Linked DNA regions of Cricetulus griseus. The protein of the gene in region 1 interacts with the protein of each later gene in a pairwise test. Links are inferred from orthologs where the notes say so. Each region holds a gene or a part of one and is shown in the gene's direction. Other genes may lie near its edges. The genes, in order: Lmo2, Ift43, Adamtsl4, Abi2, Hnrnpm, Tal2 and Znf24.

Evidence for each region.
Region 2: the proteins of Lmo2 (region 1) and Ift43 interact in binary tests that used the Homo sapiens proteins (3 or more experiments, as listed by UniProt). The two-hybrid records come from large-scale screens. The link is inferred for Cricetulus griseus from reciprocal best matches to the Homo sapiens genes LMO2 and IFT43.
Region 3: the proteins of Lmo2 (region 1) and Adamtsl4 interact in binary tests that used the Homo sapiens proteins (3 or more experiments, as listed by UniProt). The two-hybrid records come from large-scale screens. The link is inferred for Cricetulus griseus from reciprocal best matches to the Homo sapiens genes LMO2 and ADAMTSL4.
Region 4: the proteins of Lmo2 (region 1) and Abi2 interact in binary tests that used the Homo sapiens proteins (3 or more experiments, as listed by UniProt). The link is inferred for Cricetulus griseus from reciprocal best matches to the Homo sapiens genes LMO2 and ABI2.
Region 5: the proteins of Lmo2 (region 1) and Hnrnpm interact in binary tests that used the Homo sapiens proteins (3 or more experiments, as listed by UniProt). The link is inferred for Cricetulus griseus from reciprocal best matches to the Homo sapiens genes LMO2 and HNRNPM.
Region 6: the proteins of Lmo2 (region 1) and Tal2 interact in a two-hybrid assay, tested with the Homo sapiens proteins (2 studies listed by BioGRID and IntAct). The link is inferred for Cricetulus griseus from reciprocal best matches to the Homo sapiens genes LMO2 and TAL2.
Region 7: the proteins of Lmo2 (region 1) and Znf24 interact in binary tests that used the Homo sapiens proteins (3 or more experiments, as listed by UniProt). The two-hybrid records come from large-scale screens. The link is inferred for Cricetulus griseus from reciprocal best matches to the Homo sapiens genes LMO2 and ZNF24.

Annotation. Positions count from the first base shown.
Region 1 is NC_048599.1:73,666,554-73,670,681, reverse strand, and holds the start of Lmo2 (rhombotin-2), read left to right. Parts: upstream 1-1,328; 5' UTR 1,329-1,549; coding exon 1,550-1,556; intron 1,557-1,683; coding exon 1,684-1,903; intron 1,904-4,128. UniProt on the Homo sapiens protein: Acts with TAL1/SCL to regulate red blood cell development. Also acts with LDB1 to maintain erythroid precursors in an immature state.
Region 2 is NC_048598.1:117,642,464-117,645,963, reverse strand, and holds the end of Ift43 (intraflagellar transport protein 43 homolog), read left to right. Parts: intron 1-2,095; coding exon 2,096-2,168; intron 2,169-2,396; coding exon 2,397-2,472; intron 2,473-2,975; coding exon 2,976-3,038; intron 3,039-3,195; coding exon 3,196-3,315; 3' UTR 3,316-3,477; downstream 3,478-3,500. UniProt on the Homo sapiens protein: As a component of IFT complex A (IFT-A), a complex required for retrograde ciliary transport and entry into cilia of G protein-coupled receptors (GPCRs), it is involved in ciliogenesis.
Region 3 is NW_023276806.1:60,821,259-60,824,758, forward strand, and holds part of Adamtsl4 (ADAMTS-like protein 4), read left to right. Parts: intron 1-52; coding exon 53-110; intron 111-422; coding exon 423-760; intron 761-888; coding exon 889-1,510; intron 1,511-1,684; coding exon 1,685-1,787; intron 1,788-2,660; coding exon 2,661-2,797; intron 2,798-3,500. UniProt on the Homo sapiens protein: Positive regulation of apoptosis. May facilitate FBN1 microfibril biogenesis.
Region 4 is NC_048595.1:414,707,313-414,710,812, forward strand, and holds part of Abi2 (abl interactor 2), read left to right. Parts: intron 1-2,880; coding exon 2,881-3,054; intron 3,055-3,500. UniProt on the Homo sapiens protein: Regulator of actin cytoskeleton dynamics underlying cell motility and adhesion. Functions as a component of the WAVE complex, which activates actin nucleating machinery Arp2/3 to drive lamellipodia formation.
Region 5 is NC_048598.1:95,278,598-95,282,705, forward strand, and holds the start of Hnrnpm (heterogeneous nuclear ribonucleoprotein M), read left to right. Parts: upstream 1-1,308; 5' UTR 1,309-1,377; coding exon 1,378-1,490; intron 1,491-4,108. UniProt on the Homo sapiens protein: Pre-mRNA binding protein in vivo, binds avidly to poly(G) and poly(U) RNA homopolymers in vitro. Involved in splicing.
Region 6 is NC_048595.1:90,008,382-90,012,247, reverse strand, and holds Tal2 (T-cell acute lymphocytic leukemia protein 2), read left to right. Parts: upstream 1-1,158; 5' UTR 1,159-1,236; coding exon 1,237-1,563; 3' UTR 1,564-3,366; downstream 3,367-3,866.
Region 7 is NC_048595.1:213,152,838-213,157,045, forward strand, and holds the start of Znf24 (zinc finger protein 24), read left to right. Parts: upstream 1-1,408; 5' UTR 1,409-1,538; intron 1,539-1,671; exon of another isoform or gene 1,672-1,806; intron 1,807-1,904; exon of another isoform or gene 1,905-2,054; intron 2,055-2,060; exon of another isoform or gene 2,061-2,201; intron 2,202-4,208. UniProt on the Homo sapiens protein: Transcription factor required for myelination of differentiated oligodendrocytes. Required for the conversion of oligodendrocytes from the premyelinating to the myelinating state.

The DNA of each region.
Region 1 (4,128 bases):
GTTTTGGACCAACACAAGGGCATGCATACAGACACAGATTTTAATTATCCTCTTTCAGTTCACAAATTTCAGGACATGGAGACAGAAAGTGACATGAATCTGTATGTTGTGAGTCAGGTTATTACTAGTGAGAAATCAATGTGGATTTGGACATTAAGCATCCAGGAATTCACTTCTGGCTTCAGCAGGCATATTCCAGGGTGAGTTGATCTAGGCTACAAAAGAATCTTTATAATGGGTTTGAAATGCCTGTGACCTTGATAAAACAATGGATTGTGAAAGCACTTGGGAGTTTCCTTTTTACAAGCCTCAAGACTGGCATCATCGTAAACTAACGAGCCTTGAACGATCATTTCTGAAGCCAGTTTCAAATAAGTCAAGGCCCAGGGGAAGCCACGGTTTTTCTCCCTGGAAAAGTAGCTAGCTAGTGTCCTCTTCTTCCCTTTTGCATTTCTTTCTCCTTATAGAACTTGCTTTCGAGCTTGAAGGAGAAGACTGAACCCTAGATCAAGCCTGTCCTTTTCTTTGATTTACATAGGGCAAAAAAAAAAAAAGCAAGTAATAACTGTAAGGTCCTTGATTATTGGGAAGGCACTTCCGAGTATTGCTGGCACTTTACAGAGAGGGCAAGCCTAACCGCTGGAGTCCGCTCTTTGAAAGATGCTGAGGGAGGGAATTCTGTGGCCAGCAGATGGAGAGGAGACCCGGACAGTGTGGTCCCTCCCAGCCACCCTCCCCGCGGGATTAGCTGCCCCCAGTACTGCTCAGGCGCACCCGGCGCGTGAGGTGCCTGATCGCACAGCTCGCATCCCCTGTTTGGAGCGCAGTCGCAGCCGCTAGCTAGCCGCCAATAGAGCCGCGCTGCTGTCCCGGGCATCCCAGAGCACCGCGACAGTGGACCTGGGACCTAGAACCTAAGACGAGCGCGCGAGAGCCAGCCACTAGGAACGCTTACATTTCTGCAGGTGCTTATTTCACATTCTTGTATTTTCTTTCCCGCGGGAAGCCAAAAGGGAAAGGCAGAAGAAGGGGAACCCTGGAAAGGACGAATTAGTGGCAGCCCGGCTTCTTGCCCCTGGAGAGGTACTCAGGGGAGACTCTCCGACGCGGGCCCCTTTAAGAAGCTAAGTCAGTGCTGCTGCTGCTGTTGCTGCTGCTGCTACTGCTGCTGCTGTTTGGATTGCTAATCCCCAGGAGCCCCGTTTAAAAAAAAAAAAAAAAAAAAAAGGAAGAAAAAAAGGGGAGGGGGCGGGCAGCTGTCTCTTTAAATGTGATTTCCTTCTATTGTATTTGAATCGTGATCAGGAAAAAGGAAATGAAACCAGAGACAGAGGGAAGCTGAGCGAAAATAGACCTTCGCGAGAGAGGAGGGAGCCCGGGGACAGCCGCGCGGTCCGCTCCCCGCCCCCAGGCCGCCGCCCCCTCTCTGCCCTCGGCGCCCCGACCCCGACGAAGGTGTGAGGGGCTCGGGGCGACCGGGCGGAGCCTGCGACTGCGCGCGATCGGGACCGGGCGGCGGCGGCGGCTGTGGTGACGGCAGCGGACCGGGATGGAAGGTTAAGTCCTGGGCAGCGGCAGCTGCCGCAGCCGCCAGAGGGAGGCCGGGCTGCTCCCCGGCCCCCTACCTCGGCCGCCGCGCGCCGGGCAGCCGGCTGATTCGCTCTCTCTCTTTGGCGTTTGAAGGGAGCGCGGTGACTGTCCTTGAGCGTGGAGGGGCGAGCTCGCCGGCGGAGCGACCGAGCAAGAGGAGGCGCAGGAGCGGCGGCGCCCGAGCACCCGAGGGGGTCCGAGTCCAGGCAGCCGGTCAGGCACGCGCCACAAAGGGAGCGCCCCCGCCACCCGGCACGCCGCCTCCCTCCCCAATGTCCTCGGCCATCGAAAGGAAGAGCCTGGACCCGTCTGAGTAAGTGTGGCGCTTCTGTCCCCGCGCCCCCACCTCCCCCACCCCACCCGGTTCCAGGCTTGGAGCGAGGGGCTGGCTTCAGGTCCGCTCCCGCAGCGTGCCCTTGGTCCCTCGGTGTCTCAGGGGCTCTCCCTGCTTCTCGGGTGACTCTGGAGACACCGAGAAGGACTGGGTGGCGGAAGCAGTACCAGGGATCGGCCCGGCGACCCTGCGAGCCGCTCCAGGCTACCTGGAAAACACTCCAAACCTTCACCGGCGCCAGAAAGTTTGCCCAGGAGCAGGCACCTGGAGCCCGGAGGCGCAGGTGATGTGCAGGGAGAGTGGATGGAAGGATTCTCCCTCCTCCCTTCTCGCTCCACCGGGTTCCCTTTCTCTTTGTCCATTTGGCCCTGAAAAGGGGAGACACTCCCCTTTGGGGTCCCAGACAGTCTTCTACCCAGCCCGGGGCAGAGCGACTGCGGGCACTGATGGGGTCCGCCTGTCCACCTGGGAACTGGTTCAGGCCTCCAGAGACTTCTAGAATAGCTAATTCCGAGTTCCTCCGGGTACATATTCGCCCCTCCCACGAGTCTTCTAGTGTGGGCATGCGAACCTCGAAAGTTAGTGCTGTGTGTGTGTGTGTGTGTGTGTGTGTGTGTGTGTGTGTGTGTGTGTGTTTTGCTGGGGGGCTTGTTTTGTTTTGTTTTGTTTTTTGTCTAGGTCCCCCCCCGGGGGGAGCAGAATCCAATCGAACTCCCAGAAGGGTTTGGGGTCAGCGAACCAGAGCTGTAATAAACTTGCACTGTCTATGCTCTGAGCTTTGCGCTGGTTTGCAAAGAACATCCCCCATTCCTGTCCATACCTCAGCCCATTCTCTAGCCTTAATAAGGGGAGCCAGGAATGCTTAAGGTATCGTTTTTCGCGTCCACGCAAATGCCCTTTTAAGAGTCATTAGCTGTCTGGTTTTGCGTTTTTATTCCTTTGAAGTCTCCATCTAATCCTTTGAAGGGTTTTGTTAACACAAGACCAAAGGAGCTGGCTAATGACTTGTCCATTTGTGCTTGTAAGCAGCATTTGTTTTGGTGGCTTTTTTTTTTCCTTTTCCTGCTTTAAAAGAATTGTGCCTTCCTGCTGAAGTTTCCCTACTCACCCCCCCCCACCTTCAATTTCAGCCTTCTGTGGTGTTTATTTACCTGGGTTTTACCCTCAGTCAGCAGCATAAAAACCCAGCATGTTCTCATAAAACACAGGAAGTCCCACGATCCAGCGAGAATATAAACATCACTCTTCAGTCTTGAAGGTTAAGACACCAGCTCCGAAAGGAGCTAGGTTTGTTGACATAAAGACCAGCTTCCTCAAAATCTCAGGAGAAAAATAACAACCCTTTAAAAAGCAAGTCGGTGTCTATAGTTTGTTCTCTTTTAAAAATAAACTTAGCATTACCTCTGAGCTCTGAGTTTTCAGAGATTGGACAAGACATGATACTCAACGTAAGAGAGTCAGACAGACAAACTGGTGTTTACTGATTTCCTATCTGCACAGCCAAGCCGCTCATCCCTTATTAGAAGTTGAATCTACAGAGTTCAACTCCTTTTTTTTTTTTTAAAAAGGATTTTATTGTTAAGTATGTGCACATGTGTGTGTGTGTGCACCTATGTGCAGGTGCTGCGCCCCCCCCCCCCGACCCCTTGCAGGCCAGAGTTGCTGGATCCCCTAGAGCTGGAGTTACAGGTGGTTGTGAGCTACCCATTTTGGGTGCAGACTCTAACTTGGGTTCTCTGAAAGAGCAGAAAACACCCTTTGGAAAGTAAGTTTTCTTTCCAAAGTTTGTGCCTTTTTACCCCCCTTGAGACTAGAGAACAGAAAGGTATCTCAAGGCTGTAATAGTGAGCAAGAGGCCCACTGATAGTCTGCAATATGTGCCCAGTGAAGGCAGGCTGTCATTGAAGATGGACAAGCCAGGTGGAAACAGAACATTTCCCCCCCACTTCCTAGGAAATTGTTGAGAAATTTTTCTGGAAATCAAAGCTATAGAGGTACTCTGATATTTAGGATAGGCTGGTGGAAGAAAGTCAAATATTAACTTAAGGTGAATCTCATTCAGTCTTTCACTTACATTGTTCACCAGAGATAATGTCACATCATCGTTAATTATGGAAAGACAGATGGAGTTGGGATCTTGTCCTGCCCTTATCTGCTCTCCGACCATCATGTCTTTTTCTGTTGCTACTCACTCACCTTCTAGA
Region 2 (3,500 bases), on another chromosome or scaffold:
CTGCTCCACGGCCACCTGTTCCACTGGGAGTGGGGAATTGGATGGCCTGCCTCTGCTGCAATAGCTCAAGCTGTCACTGCACTGGAATGTTCCAGCTTGTCTTGGCCTGGCTGTCATCGCTGGCTCTGTCTCACTCAGGCGGTTCACCGGGTTCTACTGGGCACCAGGCTTCCAATTAGAGAGAAGTCCCACTGTGTGGCCAGCCCCACCAGTGCCACTCTGAGCAGCCTTTTGCCAAGGCCTGTGCTGACCTCTGATCTGTCACAGATGGGCAGGCCCCACACTCCCTGGTGCACATTTGGAGGAGGGAAGTGGGGCCCACCAGGAGAGCCCAGGGGGAGTGACAGTGAGCGCTGAGCAGAAGTGCAATTCCTCCGAGCTTGAGGAGGCTGGGCTGAGTTGACGGTCCAAATGCTGGAGTTGTGAAGGGAAAGGGGACTTGGGGAAGACCCCGTCCTGAGCCCCTACTCAGCGTGGGCCATTTCTCAGTAACTCCTGAATATTCATCTCAGGCTGGACTCCACAGCTGAGGAGAGCCAACAGTGAGCGAGCACTGACTGGCTGGCTCGAAAACTGTCACTCTGTGGATGGCACAGGACACAGCCAGCTTCTCCGTCCCTCTGCCGGACTGTGCAGCCTTGTAGCCAGGGAGCCCCACCTGCATGCTGTACTGATTGTGGGGACAGGGGAAAAAGAAAGCTACATTTCTCTTCATTATAGGAATGAAATCTTAGGGATTCCGAGTCTTATGCTTGTAACAGGACAGGGAGATAGACTCCAAGCTCAGAAGGGCCCCCTTTAGATACAGGGCTTGCTGAATGTCTCTTGTTCAATTCCTGTTAGCACGTTCTTCTTATTTTTAGCCCTCTTCCCAGGTACCCTGTCTTCTTTTCTGAGTCTCCCCTGTCCTTTGCTCACTCTCCATTTCTGGGCACAGTGAGTCTGTAAGTCTGCAGTTGGAAGTAGTAATAAAGACATTTATGTACTCTGGCTTAGCTTGACTAGAGCAGTCACAATGTCTAAATAATGAATAGGCTGGAAGTGGCAGGAGTCTCCCCAGCTGTTCGGGGACTTTAAAACTGCATCTAGCCCATGGAAGCCCAAGCCTTCCCTCTGGGATGTTTTTCTTTGTCGTCTATCTGCAGTTGGTTTAGAGTCCCAAGACTGCCTCACCCCACATAGCCTCTCTTTCTGCCCCACCATTTTTTTTTCTTTGCCCTGATTGAGTGAAACAAAACCCCTAATCAAGCCAATAGAAGTCTTCTGGAGGAAAAGTGTCTATCTCTATGGATACTTTTTTGGCAACTTAAGCAGGTCGCCCTAATGGAGTGACAGGCCTGTCCCTTGGTTCTCCTGTTTGTGTGACATTGCTAGACTGGCAGGAGGAGTGGTTTTATATCTCTGCACATTGTGTGTGTGTGTGTGTGTGTGTGTGTGTGTGTGTGTGTGTGTGTGTAATATATCTGGAGAGTTAAGAGAGAGAACTCCCAAAAATTGCAAGAAAAAGCCAGTGTCACAGTAGGCCTGGAAAATGGCAACCCTGATCTCTGATGGTGTCAGGAGTCAGGAGTCAGGTTCTGTGACTGGAGTTAAGTGTCCTCCAGAGGCAAGCAGCTGGGATCCTGCCCGGGACAGCTGCTCTCTGGAGCTAGCACATGTGTAGATCCCGAATGTGTGTCACTTCTGCTTGTGACCTGCGTGTCGTCCTTTCTGTCCCTGACTGTGCCCACGCCCCTGGCTCCACTCTCATCTACCCCCTCCAGGGGCTGAGCTTTTCTTCTCATTCTTTACATTTCTCCGTGGAGATCCATCCCAACACCCCTTCCCTAGTGACTACATCCGAGTCACTGTATGTAACTCAAGGTGAAACACAGGTACCAGAGTCCATCAGGAAGTGCTCCTTCCATGCATCCTGGGATAAGGCCTGTGGCTCAGCAATGGATAGAGCTCCATGTTTGACTCTGTCTGGGTATCTGTGAAACCACAGCCTACAGTGGCAGGCCTGGCGTGTTGAAGCTGACTAAGCAGTCAGTGGGCAATAGACAGGAGCCCTGTTCACGTTGTGGACAGTAAACAGCTCCACCTCTCCTTGCAGATATTCCAGTGATCCCGGATCTGGAAGATGTGCAGGAGGAAGATTTCGTGCTGCAGGTGGCGTCCCCTCCAAGGTAGGTAAAGCTAAGTGTGAAGTTGGTGAGGAAGCCCAGGGCATATACATTGACACACTCCAAACGCCATCTGCAGCGGGCCTTGCTGGTCTTTCTGGCAAGGGGTTCCATTCTGTTCTTCAAACTCTACTAGGGCATTTTGTCTGCACACAAGGTTCTAGAGATGGTAACCCAGGAGCTCTCCTAGAACCGATACTGCCTGTGGCTCTTTCACTCCCTTTCCTTCAGCATCCAGGTAAACAGAGTGATGACCTACCGTGACCTGGACAATGACCTCATGAAGTACTCAGCCTTTCAGACTTTGGTGAGTGGACTCACTGCTGCCCAGAGGGGCCAGCTCCAGGGGACCTCCAAGGGTGAAAGTCCTCAGTTCTTCTAGAGATACACACACTTTCTCCACATCCCAAGGCTGCCTAGAAATGCTGGAGGTGACATCCTTGGCCATCTCACAGCATACCTGGACCCTCCATGGGCCATAGATTCCTGTCCCAGACTCCCAGCTGCTCTCTGGCCACACTCTTGGCACACCATGGCCACCTGGCGGCCACCCCGTTGCTATCTGCCCATGTGGAATGCTCTGTCCTCTTGGTGTTGCTTTTCCCCAGTGAGGCCAGTGTGGAGGACGATGCCACAGCCACCCCTCCTTTCTCAGGGGCCATACCATTCACTTGGGGGATTTGTGTTTTGATCAAGGTTTTTCTAGGGTCTTATTTTGGGGAGTTCTGTCACACGCAAGCTCCTCTCCTTAGTTGTAAAAGTGATGCTGAAGCCCCCAAGGGTCCAGCCTGGCTTCTTGTACATTTGCAGGATGGAGAAATTGACCTGAAGCTCCTCACCAAAGTGCTGGCGCCAGAGCATGAAGTTCGAGAGGTACAGTACTCATTCCTGCCCTGAGCCTCAATGTTCCTCCATCCAGGGAGCCCCCAACATAGCCTGTGCCTTCCTGGACCTGGATAGGGTGGGAAGTTGGCCACTGACTGGAGGGAAGGCTTTTCTTTCTCTTACCTAGTAGTCTTCATTTTGGCAGGATGATGTGGGCTGGGACTGGGACCATCTGTACACTGAGGTGTCATCAGAGCTCCTCACGGAGTGGGACCTGCTGCGGGCAGAGAAGGAAGACCCTGTGGGACCATCCAGGTATACATGACCCAGCATCGTCACTGTGTATTTGAATAAATGGAAGAAGTCTAAAACCAAGAGAGCTTGCAAGCAGCTTAGAATTTTTATACTGAATATTTTGTAATAAAATATTTATTTTCAGTAGACCACATTGGATCACTCCAATTCAATAAATGGCTTTATTCTGTGAGCATTTCTTCCATTCTGTCCAGT
Region 3 (3,500 bases), on another chromosome or scaffold:
TGTTGTAACACTTCTGGCTCCCTCTAAAGTCCCCCACCCCCTTGGTGTGCAGGCTCTGGTTATGTGTAATGCTGTTTCTGCCTCTTCTTCAGCTCTGCCGGAATCAGGAGGTGAGCCCTAGCTAAGTGATCGGCTGCTACCCTGCTCAGGGTCCCTCCACTCTACCCTAGCCTGCCCTATCGGGAGGCTTCACATTCCCACGGGAGACTTCAGCCCTGTGTACCAGGCTTGGCCCACCCATCTCCCTTGCCAATTTCCTCTCTTTTAGTCAAAGAACATACACACGCGCGCGCGCGCGCACAGACACACACACACACACACACACACACAAGGCTGGAGTCCAGCCCTACCGGTACATGTGACCTTGGACAACTAACAACCCTTGAACCTCGACACTAATTCTAACCTTTTCTCCTATGTAGCTCTTTGGACCTTCTCTTCAGACACCAGCAGAGGAGGGCCAGGCCCCTGAGGGCCTCTGGGGACATTGGGGCCGGTGGGCCTCCTGCTCCCAGCCCTGTGGGGTGGGAGTGCAGCGCAGGAGCCGAACATGTGAACTGCGCCCAGGCCTACCCCTCCCTCCCCGACCCCCAAGACATCCAGAAGCCCTCCGGCCCCGGGGTCAGAGCTCTAGACCCCAGGTTTCCCGGGGTCCCCAGTCCCTGCACAGGCCACAGCCTCGGGGAAGGGGTGGCCCTCTTCAAGGTCCTGCTTCTCATCTGGGGAGAGAAAAGACCCAGGAGACTCCAGGGGCCCAGAGGTGAGGCCCTGAGGGCAGAGCCGAACAGGGAGGGGCACGGGGGCTTCGCCTCTGCAGGCTGACCTTCTAGGACATGGACTGGGGAAGACAGGCTAAAAGTCGACTCTGAGTCAGCACCATCCTCTCAGGTCCCGGGGTCGAGACCCTATCAAGCCAGGGATGTTTGGCTATGGGAGAGTGCCTTTTGCCTTGCCACTGCACCGGAGCCGCAGGCATCCCAGCAGACCCGAGCAACCCAAGAACTCTTCTACATGGGCAGAGGCCCTTCCATCCCAGCCTCCAAGCACAGAACTGGCTTCTGCAAACCACAGCTCTCAAATGCAGCTGCCTGAACTGCATGCCCCCTCCCGCTCCCCCGAAGCGGAAACCCCAAGGACAGGAAGCACTCAGATAGAGGTGCCCCCCAGAAGCAGTCCTGCTCCCTCTGACACAGGGATTCCTTCACCCATGTCCTTCTTTGGAGACAGTAGGTCTTTCCAGGGATCCCCTGGGCCACGAATGCCTACTTCCCAGGGTTGGAACAGTCCCCAGGGAACAGAGCGGCACCCTCATCCTTTCCCTTCTGTCCCCCGGAGTAGAGGCCAGCAGAGCAGGGGACACGGGAGACCTCGAGGGAGTTTTCACAGGTCCCCAGATGGCTGGCTGCCTCTGACAAGAGATTCCAGCCCCCTCTGGAGCCTTTTTGCTCCCAGTAGCCCTGTTCCAAAATGTTCTGGGGAAAATGAGCAGCTGAGAGCCTGCAGCCAGGAGGTGAGATCTCTGGGTCCCCAGCCTGAGTCCTCAGCTTGTGCTAAAGGTGGTGGGTCTATCTAACTTCAGGGCAGGAGCCTTGGTCTGTGGAGATGTCCCCAAGCCCCAGTCCAGCCCTGGCCTGCACCCCACGTTTCCTCTCCAGCGCTGATGTCTGTGTATCTGACTCCTCAGCCTTGCCCTCCTGAGCAGCCAGACCCCAGGGCCCTGCAATGTGCAGCCTTTGACTCCCAGGAATTCATGGGCCAGCTGTACCAGTGGGAGCCCTTCACTGAAGGTGCAGTTTCTAGTCCCCCTGGCAGGGTTGACTCAAGTTTGGGTGGCCCCTCTTTTCCTCCTGTGTCCTAATTCTCAGGACACATCAGAGACAAAGCAGCCTAGAGAAGGAGAAAAGCTTTCAGAAAATGATGGGTGGGTGGTCAGGACAGGAGACGGGCTGGGAGAGGGGGCTGTCTAGAGGTGCCCTTTGGCTGTGATCCGGGAGCGGGTGTGAACATGACTGGTTCACTGGTTCCAACAGAGAGCTACTATCTTTATGGTATCATAACAGTTGCTCCCAAGTTACTGTCCACTTGGACTTGGGTCCATGTCAGCTTGACACCAAGACAAACCTTCATGGGTTATGAACTCATAATCACAGGTGTCAAGAACCCTTTTAAGGAAAGGCAGGATGGCTCAGTGGGCAAAAGGAGATTGCCTCAAGCCTAATGACCCAAGTTTGGTCTCCAGACCTATCATGGAAGGAGAGAACCTACACCTGCAAGATGTTCTCTGACTCATACATGACTGACCATTCCTGTACACACTTAAAATAAGACAACAACACCACCAAAAAACAAACAAGGAACAAACAACAACAACAACAAAAAAAAACACACATACACACACAGTCAAAAAACAAAAAAACAAACCTTCTTGATGGCCAAGTGCAGAACTTCCCCCTTTTAGGAAAATAAGGTGAGAGAATCAGTAAAATTCATAAGTTTGAGACCACACAGCATAATAAAAACCCTAAGCGTGGGAACACCCCCCCTCCCAGCCTCTTCCTCCACAGCAGTTTCAGGGTGCTCCACATGCCATAAAGGCAGAATGCTGCCAGGGCTTCCTCCTTCAGGGACCCCAGCTAACTATCCTATATCTCATCCCTTAGTTCAGGGTTCCCAGCGCTGTGAACTGAACTGCCGCCCCCGGGGCTTCCGATTCTATGTCCATCACACCGAAAAGGTCCAGGATGGGACCTTGTGTCAGCCTGGATCCCTAGACATTTGTGTGGCAGGACGCTGCCTGGTGAGGGGGGTGCAGGGTGCTGGTGAGGGGGGTAGGACACTGGTGAGAGGGGCAGGACGCTGGTGAGGGAGGGCAGGGTGCTGGTGAAGGGGGACAGGGTGCTGGTGAGGAGGGCAGGATGCTGGTGAGGAGGGCAGGGTGCTGGTGAGGAGGGCAGGGTGCTGGTGAGGGAGGGCAGGGTGCTGGTGAGGAGGGCAGGGTGCTGGTGAGGAGGGCAGGGTGCTGGTGAGGAGGGCAGGGTGCTGGTGAGGGGGTAGGACACTGGTGAGAGGGGCAGGACGCTGGTGAGAGGGGCAGGGTGCTGGTGAGGAGGGCAGGACGCTGGTGAGGAGGGCAGGGTGCTGGTGAGGAGGGCAGGGTGCTGGTGAGGAGGGCAGGGTGCTGGTGAGCGGGGCAGGGTGCTGGTGAGGAGGGCAGGGTGCTGGTGAGGGAGGGCAGGGTGCTGGTGAGGAGGGCAGGGTGCTGGTGAGGAGGGCAGGGTGCTGGTGAGGAGGGCAGGGTGTTGGTTTGCACATGGGCACGCACACACACACCCTCCTTTAATTCATTATTACAACAGTGAAAACACCAGACTGAGGTGGCCAAAGGGAAGGTTCTTGCTGTCCAGCAAGGGGTGTGTTGTAGGAAGGATCCCACCAGACATGGCTATGCTTGGAGGAGCTCACAGAACATCTCACTTGTCAAGCAGGGCAGGGGGTGCGCT
Region 4 (3,500 bases), on another chromosome or scaffold:
AGAAGACAGTTGGATAGTAAGTGGGGAAGTTTTTTGTTTGTTTGTTTGTTTTTTTGTTTTTTAAATCAGACACAGTGAGCATTCAGATTTTGAAACTGACCTTGAAGACTATTAGAATATTTTCTTCAAAAGTTGGACTTCAAAGTTGAATATAATTACGGAATTAGTCATTAGTTTTTTACCAGTAATTAGTGAAAGCTGTGAGGTTTGTAGAAACATCAAAAAATATTTCATGGGTAGAAGTAGTGTTTTAATTTAAGTTATTTAAGTACTTGGATCACAGAGGTGTTCAGAACTTTGGTTATGTGGACAATTGTAAAACATTGTCATAGCAGCACTGTTACTATGTTAAAACCTCTCCTAATTTGGCTCCTATCATAACTGATTGTTGAGTCTCTTTCCTTCAGTTCCTCCTTTCTCCCTGTGTGTGAGGTATGCTAGGACTAGCTTAGCAGTTGTAGCAAGGCTTATACATTCAAAGGAATGTTATTTTCTTCAAAACATGCACCTTGGAAGATGTGTATCTTTGTTTTAGATTCATCTTACGGCTTTCTAGGCATTAGTTTAGAGATAGTCTATGGAACTAATTTTTTTTGCATTAAATTTAATATGTGGAAGAGTCTGGAATCACTTGGAATATTTATTATTTACTTTATTAAACCACTTACACTGTGATAAAATGCACAATTATACCCCTGTTATTATTATTTTTAATTCTCATGTGGCCCCTTGTTACTCATTGAGTAGAGCCCAAACTTAGCAAACCCTTTTGTCCCGAGACCTTTAGGCTTCCTCTGCCTGCCCAACTTTGGATGATTCTTTGAAAATTTCCTTCCTGCTTTATCTCTGTACTTCGAAAAAGCATTTTTATTCTTTACAACCAACCTGAACGTCTATTCCTCATGCCCTACTACCTCCCAGCCATTAACTTGACTCATTCATCAGGTCTCAGGAAGCCTTTTCTGGTCCACATAAAGAATTTGGTCTATGACGTACGCTTCTATAATTTCTTAAAGTTTCACTCTACTTAATTATATCAAAATTTGGTTGGTTGCATGTTGCTGACACTTGCCCACCATATTGTTGGTGACATTTGCCCACCACACTCTTCTCAGTGCAGGAACTAGGTCCTAGCCACATGAGGCTCTTGGGTGTTATTTACTTAGTGGTGATGAAGTATTCCTTAAGAGCTACAACTTTTATCTTCTAGTATAGTGTGGCTTCTAAGGTAATGCGCAGAGGGGAGTGCTCGGGTGCTCTTCTGTCTGTTGCTATAGGAACATTTATCTTCTTTTCACATCCATAAAACTAAGTTTAAAAACAAGACCGTGGCTTGGGGGTATAGTTTGGAGGGTTTGTGTAGAATGTGTAAGGATCTTGATTGAGCCCTATAGTCACAAAAAAGTAAAAATGAGTTGTCTTAGGGAAAGATGAACTAAAAGAATGTATTTTAAAGTACCAGCTGGATAACTGATATACTGCACAAGTAAAAACAGTCTGGCTCTGAGGCAGTTATAAGGAAGGCAGAAATGATCAGGGTTGGAATTTTGAGTAATTTATAGTGTAATTTCTCTGATTTTCCTGAAAATCCCTTGTATCTATTTCTGTGCTCTCAGTCTCTTCATATGAACACAGGTTTCACTATTGCTTTCACCCCGTTCGATGAAAAACATTAAATTTGAATAAAGAATATAGTAAGAACATGGATTTGTGTTACATTTTTAAGAAGACAAACAAACAAAACTAAAAAAATTCTAAGACAGCAATGCTTGAAGTAGCAGAGCACAGTGTTGGTGCCCTGACTGCTCAGAGTTTATTTCATGCGCACAATTCTGTAAGAGTGAGTCCTGATGATTAAAACTGAGGTCAGTGCAAATTTATTTTTGCTTTGTTGTGTTCAAGTATTTACCAAGCATTTTGACAGCTTTGAGTTCTCTGGGTTTGGAGACGATTTTTTTACATGTTACAATACGATGAGACTGATTCTAATAATACATATGGACATATAGTCTCAAGAAATTTAAATAATGACTAAACCTGAATTAGTTCAAATTCCACAAGCAAACAAACATTGTAATGACTGAAGTTACCCCAGTTTGATGTAACTCTGTTTAATGAAAATCAGGCTGGTGTTGTGGTGAATCCTGATAATCCTAGCACTTGGGGTTGAGGAGGAAGGTTGTGAGTTTGAGGCTAGTTTGGGTTATATAATGCGAACTTGTCTGAGTAAATATACAGAAAACTGAGACTAAAGTAGCAGATTGTAAAAATTTGACTATTTCTTTGACTCATTTTAGTTTTTCCTTAAAGATTTGTCTATTTACTATGTATACAGTGTTCTGTCTGCATGTATTCCTGCAGGCCAGAAGAGGGCACAAGATCTCACTGTAGGTGGTTGTGAGCTACTACATGATTGCTGAGAACTGAACTCAGGACCTATGGAAGAACAGCCAGTACTCTTAACCCCTGAGCCATCTTCCAGTCCCCATCATTTTACTTTCTTATGTGATTGTGATTACTCAAGTTATTAATATCTCTGATAATTCTTTGATAATGAAACCCAACTATATTGTACTCATTTCTTTAGAAAGATAATCAGTATTTATAGGGCTTATGTGTTATTACTGAAAGGTTCTGGAGGCCAATTAACAGTAAAGTTTTGGACTAAACCGCACTCAACATCCATCAACACTTAACCCAAAAGGGAGGGAGAAGTCTTGCTTGGCAATTGAAAACATAATGGTGGGAAAATTCCTCTTAGCATTCAGTTTTTGAAAGATGATTATTTTTGAGTCTGGGTTTATATTTAATGAATCAGGAAGCTCAGATAAATATTGAACTCTACATACTATATAGTTTGTCAGCTTGATAAACTCTTAGTTTCAGATACACCACCTCCACCACCACCTGTGGAAGAGCCAGTCTTTGATGAATCCCCGCCTCCACCGCCACCTCCAGAGGATTATGAAGAGGAGGAAGCAGCTGTGGTTGAGTACAGTGATCCTTATGCTGAAGAGGACCCACCATGGGCTCCAAGGTCTTACTTGGAAAAGGGTAAGTGTCATGAGGTCGTCTGGAGGGATGAGAAGACATCTGTAAATAGAAATGAGACTTGCTGGTAAAGCTTTATTTGTATTATCTGTTCCATTTTAGTTATTCAGTCAGTTTATAGGGCTTATGATTTTGAAAATATGATTTTGATATGGTAAAATTTTATGTCTATCTGTTACTATTGAACTTGCTTTTCACAAATTATATGACACAAAAATAAAAAACAAGTGGACTTTTTTTTTGGAATCCCCAGGAAGAGGATTATTTTTCCAAATTATTTGTATCGCTGCACTTTCTTCCATCATCATCAGCATTATTGGAAGCAGCCTTACCAGGTTAGCCCAGGTTGGCTTCTAACTTTTGTTACTTGTACCTCATACTGGGGTTACAGGTGTGTATCACTGTGCTGAACTGTCAGTTAATTTTGAGTTGTTTTTACATGTTCAAGT
Region 5 (4,108 bases), on another chromosome or scaffold:
CTTTCATTTTCTTTCTGTCCTATTTCCATTTAAAGAAAGCTGATGTCTCCTTGACATGACATGGCTGTTGCCACCCATGAAATTATAGCGGGGGTGGTTACTGGCATAAGATAGGACCCTTAGCATTCCATCACGGTTGGGCGATAGGCTCTCTGAGGACCTACTGGCAGTCGTTGCTGGAGAAAGGAGGTGTCATTTGCTTCTGTGGTGTGGCCACTGTTCAGTTGTCCATGCTCAAGTAAATAAACCCCACACCTATGCATATGTAAGCAATCCTAACTCAGAAGGTCACAAAACAATGACATGGAAGTGGGAAACTTGTTGGAAAGAAGGTTCAGTGGGAGGGGGGATAAGATGGTAACTGAAGGTGACTATGATGAAAATACAGTATAGGGTCAGAGATTGAAGCTAGTAGAGTCCCTGGGTTCCATCTCTAACACTGAACAAACAGAGCACGTTCCTCTAGTCTATCATTCCAGCACTCAGGATGTGGAGGTGGGCAGCTCAGCAGACATTCAAAACTAGATTCTGCTACACAGAGTTCAAGGCCAGCATTGGTTAGAAACCCTGTCTCAAAAAAAAAAAAAAATGCGTTGGTGGCACAAGCCTTTAATTCTAGCACTTGGGAGGCAGAGGTAGGCAGATCTCTTGAATTTGAGGCCAGTCTGGTCTACAGAGTGAATGCCAGGACAGACAGGGATTACACACAGAAACCCTGTCTCAAAAAGCAGCCCCTCCCCAGTCCCAAGCAAACTCAAAATACATGATATATATTTTTGAAGTTGTTAAAAAAAATAAATTAATAGCCAGATGTGGTGGTGCATACCTTTAATTCCTGCATTTAGTAGATAGGAGCTGGAGGATCTTCCAGCCAGCCAGGGCTACACAATGAGACCCCGTCTCAAAAAAGAAAGAAAAATGAATAAAACGGGGAAAAAAGAAATAAGCTGGAGTGAGTAGGTCAGTATGTGTGCTCTCATTACAAGTGTGAAAGGGGCCGGGCGGTGGTGGCGCACGCCTTTAATCCCAGCACTGTGAGTTCCAGGCCAGCCTGGTCTCCAGAGCGAGTGCCAGGACAGGCTCCAAAGCTACACAGAGAAACCCTGTCACGAAAAAAAAAACAAAACAAAAAAGAAGTGTGAAAGGGAAATACTTGGCTGTCCTTACACTCAGGAGCAGTCCCCGCTGGCGCCGGGAGGCGTGCCCTGATAGCCAGGGGGCGTGGCTTGACGGGCCAGGGGGCGTGACCCTAGGCGAGCAGGAAGCGGGAGCCGGTCGCAGCACACGCAGGCGTTACTGGTCGCGCAGGGTCACGTGAGTGCGCAGGCGCAGCTCTGCACACTTCGCTCCCTCACACAAAGCCCAGACGCGGAGAAAATGGCGGCAGGGGTCGAAGCGGCGGCCGAAGTGGCAGCGACAGAGCCCAAAATGGAGGAAGAGAGCGGCGCGCCCTGCGTGCCGAGCGGCAACGGAGCTCCAGGCCCGAAGGGGTGAGTATTGTAACGTCAGTCCGTCCTCCTCTAAGTCGGGCCGGGCTACTTCGCAGCTCCGTTAGGCGTGTTGGCTGCTTTCTCTTCCCCCATGGCGGAGCGGCGCGGCGCGGCGTCTGCGCAGGCCTTTCCCTGCCGAGGGGCGGCGGCGGCGGAGGCGGTGGCGACGGCGAAGCCGGGAGAGCCTCACGGGTCACCCTCTGCCGACAGCGCCGGCCTCCGCTGCCTCAGTGTCCGGGCGGGCCGGGCGCGTCGTCGAGGCCGTAGGCCCGTGGCCTGCTCTTTGACTCCGGGAGCGCCGATGGCGCGCAGGCTGGCGGGAGCAGCCTCGCTGCACCTCTCCCTGGGCTCTGGCTGTGAACACAGGTTTCGGCCCCTCGGCATTACAACCCGATGGGGGTGTTCTTGTCTCAGTTTCCCAGACCCGCCAAGTTAGGGGCGGGAGGCGTACGCGCGCGGGTTCTCACGTGTACCGTCAGCAAACGGCGGCGGGACCGGGAAGGTGTCGGGCACGGGCCTCGTTGCGGGGTTCCGAGACCCCCGGTGTCACCCACCTCTCCCGCAGGAAGTGCTGGCTTCTTCCATCAGAATGGCCCCCGGACCCGGGCTCCTAGGCCGGAGCCCTTCCGCCTCTCTCTGTTGCCTTCTTCCTCAAGTGCGCAGTTGGTAACAGTGGGGAGAAATGTTCCCTAGTTACTCACACTTCATCCTTAGCGACAGGTAGAAAGTGTGCGGGCGAAGGCATCCCTTCGGGATTTCAGGGTTCCGGAAATTAGGATAGCCAGACTTCATCATCCCATTTTCGAAATCATGTTGGAGGTCTGTTCAGAGACTTTAGCGTGTTTTTCTAAGTTTCCTAGCTCGACCTGGTGAGCCCTAGCTTTAGGGGGAGGAGGCTGAAGCCCGAAAGGCTCCAACGTTGCAAAGTGTGACTAGGCCATATAGAGTGAGTTTCAATCAAGGTTGCCATTGAATCAGTGGGAAATTGGGGAGACCGTATCTCAACTTAAAAAGAGGGCTAGGAACGTAGTGATAGATCGGTGACCTGACACTAACTAGATTGGTTCCCTAGTAACACATCACATGGCGGACCTTCCCGGGCCAAAGAAAAGGTTTTCTTCGGGGGGGGGGGGACGTCCCTGTGGAACTCTGCTCATACTGATTTACCATTACTTGAGAGAGGTATGGAGAAACATTTTGGTTCTAAGACCAGCGCTTTATATCGCTGAGTAAGACTGGAAGCTATAAGATTCTGGGGAATGAACTTATTGCAACATTAGTTGATAAAGCATTTGCTAAATATTGGCTACTTTGTTACAGGAGGAAATTACAGATCTTTTTTTTAATCTTAGGGAGAAGTAAAACACCATTGGTTAACTGGTTCATGTCTGTGATTTCAGCATTTGGGAGGTTGAGTTCTCCGGTTTTGGCTACATAGCAAGTTCAAGATTTGCCCAGGCGACATGAGTGCCTGCAGAAAACAAACAGAACAAAAATGTATGAACGTGTAATATTATAGCCCTTTAGGAGTATTTGCCCAGGATTCACAAGGCCCTGGATTCCACTCCACAGCACTGAAAGAGAGAGAGAGAATCCTCCCTTTGGTTGTTCCCAACACTTTACTATGGAAAGTCTCAGCCTTTGAGTGTGCTCATTTTTACTTCCCTGTCCACCCCCCTGGGAACCTAGGGTCTTGAGATCTAGATAATACTCTGTGAGCTACACCTCCAGTCAGTCTCATGTTCACTTTTTTCAGCCTTTGTTTTAGAGATGCCTTGTTGGGTCCAATTCCCTTTCTCTTCCCCCAATGTTTGCTTTGAGATAGATACCTGGCTAGCCTAAAGAGTCTACAGTGTAGACCTTGGTGGCCTTGAATTTGGAACAAGATGCCCCAGCTGCCACCCAGTTTCTCGAAATCAAAAGTTATACACTACCACTTCAGGCTCACCTTGTAGGATTCTCTGAGGGCCAAATTTATTTGAAGGACTTTAAGAAAAGTTATAGGATGAAGTGCTGCTTGAACCTTTCTAGGTGAAAGGTTGAATTTGTTATAGAACACAGTATAGTGATACAATTTCCAAATTTTCCACTGTCCATTTTCAACTAGAAATCTTGTGACTGGGTCATTTGACAACCAGTATATGCATAGGAAGCTTCAGAGGTGAAATAGCCTTTGTTGGAAAGAACCTGAGTGGTCTGGGTTAATGGAGGATACTTGAGAAATGTGGCAGCAGTTTTGTAGTGTGGGTGAAAATAGTTTTGGTTTTGTTGGGTTTTTGTTGTTGTTATGTATGTTACAAAATTCTTCTTTAAAAGAATGGAGGCCAGGCGGTGGTGATGCATGCCTTTAATCCCAGCACTCGGGAAGCAGAGGCAGGCGCATCTCTGTGAGTTCGAGACCAGCCTGGTCTGCAAGAGCCAGTTCCAGGGCAGCCTCCAAAGCCATAGAGAAACCCTGTCTCTGAACCCCCCCCCCCAAAAAAAAAAATGGAGGGGTACCTCCTCACTACTTTTTGATTAGGAATTAAACCTGGGTCTTAATGCTTATAAGGTAAGCACAATGTCTACTGAACCTTCTCACCAGCTGCTTTTTCTTTTTTCTTTTTTCTTTTTTTGGT
Region 6 (3,866 bases), on another chromosome or scaffold:
GGAAACAGCAGGAATGAAAAGGTAGAGTGGGTTAACAATAGCATCACTGTTTGGAGGATGCAGAGGGGTTAAGTGCCCTGGGAAGCTGAGGCTGGAGCCAGCAGCAAGTGACAGCAGTGAGCTGGGAAGACCAGGCTGCCTAGGGCCAGGCTTTTGCTTATTTGCCACTGTATCATGAAGGTTCCCATTAAAATGCACTAATCCAGACCACTTGGGAAAAAAACGGGGGACTGTGCCTCCAAGAGTTAAAGATGGCAAAATGAGATTTCATGACAGCTTTCCTAATGTGGAAAAGGTGAGCTATGGGAGTGCCAAGAAGCCCTGGTATTTGCTGTGGATCCAAGCCACAGAGCACCTGCCCCCGTTCTTTTCATTCTTATCAGGCTGCACACCCCTCCCATGTCTGTTTTCCTAAATCTGGGTGTCACAGCCCTTTATCACCCTGCTCACAGTCTTATGAGCTACTGTGTGAACATTCTAGCTATTGGAGATTGGAGCCCAACCCTCCAGCTAAGGTCAGTTAAAACAAGGATAGCTGTCACATTTTCTCCTATTCAAATGTCCTTTTATTGATGAAAACTGGGGATGCAGCCTTTTCTCTCTTAAAAGCTCGTGACACACTGCACATTCACACTCAACACTTCCTGGGCTAAATATATACTTTATTCACACATGTATTAATTCCATACTGTAAGTGATTTTTGATCTACTGGGAAGGATAGGTTATAAAGGAAGTAGTGGAGTTGGAGATGTTACTTAGTTGGTGCTACATGACAAACATAAAGCCCTGGGTTCAATCCCCAGCATGCTTAAACGAAAAATGGTGGCACAAGCCTGAAATCCTAGCATTCAGGAGGTGAAGGTAAGAGGATCAGAAGTTCAAGGTCATCCTTTGCTGCACAGTAAGTTTGAAGCCCGCCTGGAATGCATGAGATTCAGCCTCAAAAGGAGAGGTGGGAGCAGCAGGGGAGGGACTAAATATAGTTTCATAATGGTGGCTTCAAAACAGGCTAGGGGAGGCTACAGGGACCTGTTTTTCTTTTGCACTTTCTTCTGCCATCCTTTTTTTTTTTTCTTAAAAGAGACATTTCTAAAAAACTCAAAATGGATTTCCTAAGGTCTGAGTTGAGAAGATCTAACACTGCAGAACTTGGCAGAACACGTGATTGTAACTGGACCTCTTACAAGGTCTCGGCCACCACAGCCCCTTTTCTCTCCCATCTTAGGAACCTGGACATGACCAGAAAGATCTTCACAAATACCAGGGAGCGCTGGAGGCAGCAGAGTGTCAACAGTGCCTTTGCCAAGCTGCGGAAGCTCATCCCCACTCACCCTCCAGACAAGAAGCTGAGCAAGAATGAAACGCTCCGTTTGGCAATGAGGTATATCAACTTCTTGGTCAAGGTCTTGGGAGAGCAAAGCCTACAGCAAACAGGAGTGGCTGCTCAGGGAAACATTCTGGGGCTCTTTCCCCAAGGGCCCCACCTGCCAGATGTTGATGAAAGAACTTTACTCAATGACTGTGGAGTTTCTTCCCCCGGCCCAAGCCATGAGGCTCCCTAGGGTGGCTGTGACTGTCAGCCCCCAGGACGGTACAAGTTGAAAAGTCCTGTGGTTTCATTCTGTAAAGAGGTGTGACGCAGGAAGTGATGGGGACAGAAGCTGAGAGCTGCAAGGAGACTTGAGCAATGTTGCCCTGGCCTCATTACCCCAGAACCTCAGGCAGAACAGCTAGCTGCTCTCTGTTCTATAAGTCTGCAGAAGTCCATAGCAAAAAAAGCAAACAAGCATATGTTTAAAACGGCCATCTCACTCACGACTTCAGTAACGAGGATTTCCTTATACTGGATCTCAGATGGATGGGCAAAGCTGTTGCCCTCTGAAAATACTTTTGCTTTGAAAAAGGAGACATGTTTGATTGAGGGTAAATACAAGAAATCTTAAAATTGATGGATAGAAAGATAGCCGCTGTGGAAACCAGCCTGGCAGCGGTGTGCGGCCGTCTCTGGAGGGATGTCCCTTTGGAGCAGAGCTGGGAGGATTATGTATGTGGGAAGATTCCATGTCCTTAGGCCTCTACAGAATCATGCTATTTTACTTCAGTTGAGCCGCTGGAACCAAATAGTGGATTTCATTCATTCGAGGAAAAACCTTGATGATTTAGGAGTTAGACTTCATAGTTTTCTTATAAAAATTAGCTAAAATGAGTGAGCAAACTACTTAGTGTGACTTACTGGGTACTGAACTGTTAATTCAAATTCCTGCTGACTTAGGTCCTGTATAATTCAATAATTATGAAAGCCCAAATGTTGCCATTTAATATTTTGTTGAGAGCAAACAATAGAAATAAAGGACCAGATAGATGCTAATGAACTAGTGCATTTAACTCCACCTTCCTACCTCCCAGGGAGCATTAGCCTGGTCATAAGCAGGGGCAGGGCAGCCAGCACCCAGTAAATCAGTAGAGCAGTATGGATGCTCTGTCACCACCACACACCATTCTGGTCCTCATGGACTTGGATTCAAAGAAGAATCCATTGGCTGCGCCCCACATGCAGGTGTCTATCTCTAGGACATTATATTTCCCAGAATTTTTTTGGCTTTATGATCTTCTGAGTCACAGGTGGGAAATCTACGGATTGTGGTTATGAATTTCCAGTATCTATACAACACAGGAATTTAAACGTTTTGTCTCTCTGGAAGGTATTTATAAGTAACTACATCATTAAGGTCGATTTAACCAATGCACTTTTAGCACAACAGGCTTCCCCCTATGTCCTTTGCTTAGCCTGCACTTGATTAATTTCTGCACAGAAACAGTATAGAGACAGGGAACCACAGAGGCTGGTGGAGCCCTTCCTTCCACTCCAGATATGTATGCCTTTGTCACCACCTTGGGGAGAGTCAAGCTTATCTCCAAATTACCAGGCAGTGAGATGTTTCAAAGTTTTTATGGCTGTTGTCAATTAAGTAATACTGCCCTCTCATCTGGCATTAAATAAAGTACGTTTGACAGTGACTTTACTTTTACTTAGCTTACTCGAATATGAAGAAAGCAGAGGCCCTCTGTTCCTAAAAGCAAAATTTTTGTGCTTTATACTGTACACACTCCCTTTCCTGGTGCTTTTGTGTGTGCTCAAAGAAGGCTGCCCACTGAAATGCTACAGGGACCCCAAAAAGATGTGAGTGAGGGGGAAAGTTATTTAAAGACAGCCTAGAGGAAATCCTTTCACAGATGAACCAACCTTTACAATGTTATTATATGTAATGTACTCCTTAAAGTATTTATTCAGCTTTAGCTTCCTTCCTTTCTTCCTTCAATTCTTTCTTTCTTTCTTTCTCTCTCTCTCTCTCTCTCTCTCTCTCTCTCTCTCTCTCTCTCTTTCTTTCTTTCTTTTTTCGAGACAGGATTTCTCTGTGTAGCTTTGGAGCCTGTCCTGGAACTTGCTCTGAAGATTCACCTGCCTCTGCCACCCAAGTGCTGGGACTAAAGGTGTGCACCACACACCCCCACCCCCGCTTTAATTTTCTGTATCAAGTTGAATTAAATTAACAGGACTGTCAAAAAAACAAAACCAAACCAAAAAGAAACAATAAACAGCTGTAATCACGTGTGGTCCCAAACCTAGTCGTGATATGTGTGAGATTGGAAACTAATTCAAAACTCCCTGTGTGGTTTTCTTTGGTGGTCCTAGCAATAAGACTTCATAGTTCAAATGTGTTACAGTCCACTGGATGTTACATTTGTTTAGGGGCCATTTGAGTCTAAGAGAAGAGTTAAACCAAATTTTCTGACTATGTTTCTCTGTTCTTTAAACTGAAGTGAGCATTTGATCTGCTTTGGACAGTAATGGAAATCTTTAGAA
Region 7 (4,208 bases), on another chromosome or scaffold:
TTGGGATTAAGCCTTATAGCCCTGGGGTATTGCCAGGCAAAATGATTGCAAAGTTAAAGGAGTCATCAACATGCCTTCTACAAATCCTGGAAGAGCCCGATGGACTTCTCATAGGAAAGACGGAGGAGGGGTGAAGAGCTCTTAGGAGTCACAAAAGAGAGTAGCCAAGCTGGAGCCTGGGTGAGGCCAAATGGGACAGTGAAATGCTGGATAAAGCCTCCCAGTGAAGAAAGGAGTTAGCAGGGGTTATGGGAAGGTGAGCTCTGGCTGGAATGAAATGGCTTGCTGTTTGGTCAGCTGCTTGTTTACTGCTCATTCACTGACCCAACAGAGGCTCTGGACACTTGCAGAGACCCTTTCCTGAATGAGACAATAAGGCAAAGCTTGAGGACCTTTTCAATGTTTTGCAAGGCTTGACCTATGCTCCAACAAAACTTTCCAAAACAGGGCTCTTTTGTGCCATTTCTGAGACTTGACATGTGACCTAGCAAAGGCTGCAATGTCGACAGCCCACAATTCATTCATTTATTCAAAGAAAACTTTGTACTTATTGAGTTTTCTATATGCCAGCTGGCATCCTGAAACTAGGTGGGGGTACTGTCATAACCAGGACAGAGAGGACAGAGACGACTCCACCTTTACTGGACTTTCAAAGCACAATTCTAAGAGTGCCCCTAAGCATATGGAGACCACCTGAAAGAGGGTTGGTCAGTGAGGCTGAGGCTCCACAATAAGCTGGAGACATAGCCAGAGGGAAAAAGCAGGCAACAGACCATAGACGAACTGCAGGACAATTTAACAAATTTTTAGTGTCATAGTTCCGGTAGTTGTAATGCACCGGAGGACTTTAGAGGAATGAGGTGGTCTGACTGATTATGACTGCAGCTGCTTTTTGACATGAAATACCCAGTATGCTCAGATTGTGCAAATTCCCAAAGTTCTCAACTAGCCTCATCTTGTTTGATGACTTGTTATAATCTTTGTTAACACAGCTAGTGGGAGGCAACAGTCTGAGCCATGTTTAAGTGCAAACCTGACTTCCTACTTATAATGAGATGTCGGCCCTGAAGCGGGACTACAAGTTCCTGCACTATAGGATGTGGGGGTAAAGGGAATTATTTATACGCAGAGCACAGAGGCTGTGTGTGCCTAGCACGACTGTGACAGGCTTTCAGAAATGTTCACTTTCGTTAGTTACTCCAGAGGGTTCCTACGGGGAGCACGGGACACTCGTGAAACTGCCAACTACCTTCCTCTAACTCCCCTTTCCTTTTTTGTGAAGTGGAACAGAGCTCAGCGCCCACTCTGGCAGAGGCGCAAGGCCAAGCTCGGCTTCAATACGGCCATTGTCATCAAGCCGCACCTCCCCCGCTTGCCGCGCGTCCCCATGGCAACTCGGGGCTTCGCCTGCCCCCCACCCCCGCCCCCCGTCCTGCGGACCGGAAGCCGTGCGCGCCGGGGGCTTGTGGGAAGAGGCTGTAAGCGACGGTGCAGCGTCTGCCCGGGACGGCGAGGCTGCGGTGGGTCCCGAGACGGAGGTCAGCGGCGTGCGGGGGCAGGGTTCGAGGAGGGGGCGCGGGTCGGGGCGCGGCGGCCGAGGGCCCGGCGTCGTTCGGCGTCTCGGGCGTGCGCGGAGAAGGCCGCGGCGGAAGGGCGGCGACGGCGGCCTGCCGCGCTTCGGGAGTCCGCCGAGCCTCTCGCGCCCGCGTCCTCGCCGATATGTCCTCCCCTCCCCCACCGACCGGTTTTGTTCTATTTCGAGGCTCTGTCCGCTCGCGGAGCGTTCTGGGAGTCGCTTAAACCGAGGTGGGATCCGTGGTTCTCGCGCACGGCCTTCTGGGATTTGTAGTCCCGCCGGTCTAGGGCGGAAGTGCCCGTCCTGTGTGGAGACGGGTGTTCTGGGGCCTCTGCGGCCCTTCGCGGTGGATGCTGGGAAGAGGACATCAGCGGGGATTACTGGGGCTGGCTGGGCTCGGCGCTGTGAGGCGGGAGGTCGTTGAAGACCAGGATCCCGCCAAGTGCTTGACGGCGTTTCTCCTCGTCTCATGAGCCTGGTGCAGTACAAAATAGAAGAAAAAGCAATTTCTATTACGTAGAAATGCTTGAGCCGTTGATAGGGTCTGGTCCAGGAATAGGAATAAATAACCTGGATTTTGCTAGCAGGCCATCATCCCACTCAAGAATATTTATGGATCTATATGGTCTGTCTGTTTGATACAGTATTTTTTGATTGTCTTCCTCTTGACAGGTTTCAATAAGATTTTCTTAAGTTTCTGTGTTTTGTGTGTGTGTGTGTTTTTAATATTCTTGGCTCTGATAAATAAACAGTAGCTGTAAAGCGTATTGTTCCGTTCATTTGTTTTGTTTTGTTTTTCCAGACAGGGTTTCTCTGTGTAGTCCTGTCTGCCCTGGTACTGGCTCTGTAGACCAGGCTGGCTTCGAACTCAGAGATCCGCTTGCCTTTTGCCTTCCAAGTGCTGGGGTTAAAGGCATGTGCCATCACCGCCTAGCTAAGCTTATTATTCTTAATGTGCTGTGAACCATGGCACCAGTATGATTTTGCAAATACTAAAAGGATCAGAAAGTAGCTCACAGATTTCCCCAAAGGAAAAGCTAGGGGAAGCTACTTAAGGAAAAAGACTCTGGGCCATTATGAGAAGTTGTGAGTGCTTTTTCCTAATAGAATTTGCTGCAGTTGATTAACTGTCACAGTAAGTTTAAATGCATGTATGGTGGTGGATGCCTAAATAACATTTGCATGTTATGTGCAATAGTTTCTTCTCCAGCGTTATGTGAACTGTGTCAAAGTGAATCTGTGACAAGATCTAACAGCCCAGTTGTTTTTGCTATGTAGATGAGGATAGTCTTATTCTACCTAGGTACTGGGATTACAGGTTTAGGACACCATACCCAGCTACTAGTGAACATTTTTCACATTTATTTTGTTTAGGAAGTTCCTAAACACCTCAGTTTTGTTTTTTTAACTTCAAAGCAGTGCGCGCACGCGTGCGTGCGTGCGTGCGTGCGTGGTGTGTGTGTGTGTGTGTGTGTGTGTGTGTGTGTGTGTGTGTGTGTGTATGCCCGTGAGTGTGCATTGGCCTTGAATACAGTCTCTAACCCCAGGGGTGGGGAGGCAGTTTACCTGGTTCCTACTCCAGACTTGCAAAAACAAAATGAAAAGTTGGGCGGGCTAGGTAGCTCATTAGGTAGGGGGCTTGCTCCAAGCCTGACAACCTGTATTGGATCCCAGATTCCACAAAGCAGGAGGAGGGAACAAGTTTCTGCATCTTGTCCTCTGACTCCCACACCTGTGCGGAGATGTATAAACACAAAATAAATGTCAAAGTTTTGAGTCCCACAGTTCTGAATATTTAGTTTCTTATTTTATGTATGTGTATACCACGTGTCTTCCTGGTGCCTAAGGAGGTCAGAAGAGTGTTTGTAGTGCTGGGAATAAAACCTGGGTCCTCTGCAAGGACAGCGAGCATTCTTACTTGCAGAACCCAAGGGTTCAGAACATTTGGAGAGCACTTCGATAGGTTGATTCTTACATGGGTTCTTTAGGCTATTTAATTGCCTTTTGTTACTATATGTCACAGACTGACAGTCTTTCGCTGGAAAGGGCCAGGTTGTAAATAAATCCTAAGTTGTTTTAGATCTTAGCAGAAATTGTTGAACCCTATCAGTGATACCTTTATAGCCTGAACCATGATTAAATTTAATGATTTATAAACAACAAATTTAAAAAATATTATGGGGCTGGAGAGATGGCTCAGTAGTTAAGAGCACTGGCTGCTTTTCAAGAGGACCCAAGTTCAATTCTCAACACCCATATGGCCATTCCCAATGTCTGTAACTTTGTTCCAGGGGTACCAGCACCCTCACACAGACACCCTTATAGGCAAAAACCAATGCACATAAAATAAACCATTACAATTTTTAAAAATATTTTTACATTTTGTGTATGTGTGTAGGCATGCACGTGCAATGCCACACTTGTGGAGACCAGAGAACACCTTGCAGAAGTAAAGTTCTCTCCTATGTACATGCTGGTTATCAGACTCAAGTCATCAGGCTTGATCGAGGGTACCTTTGCCAGCTGAATGACTGTTGACCCTAGACTGATACATCATATTTTCCTATCATGAAATGTTTCTATGCTTTTTAGCCATTTAAATTTTTACACTATGGATAGTGTAATTGGCAGC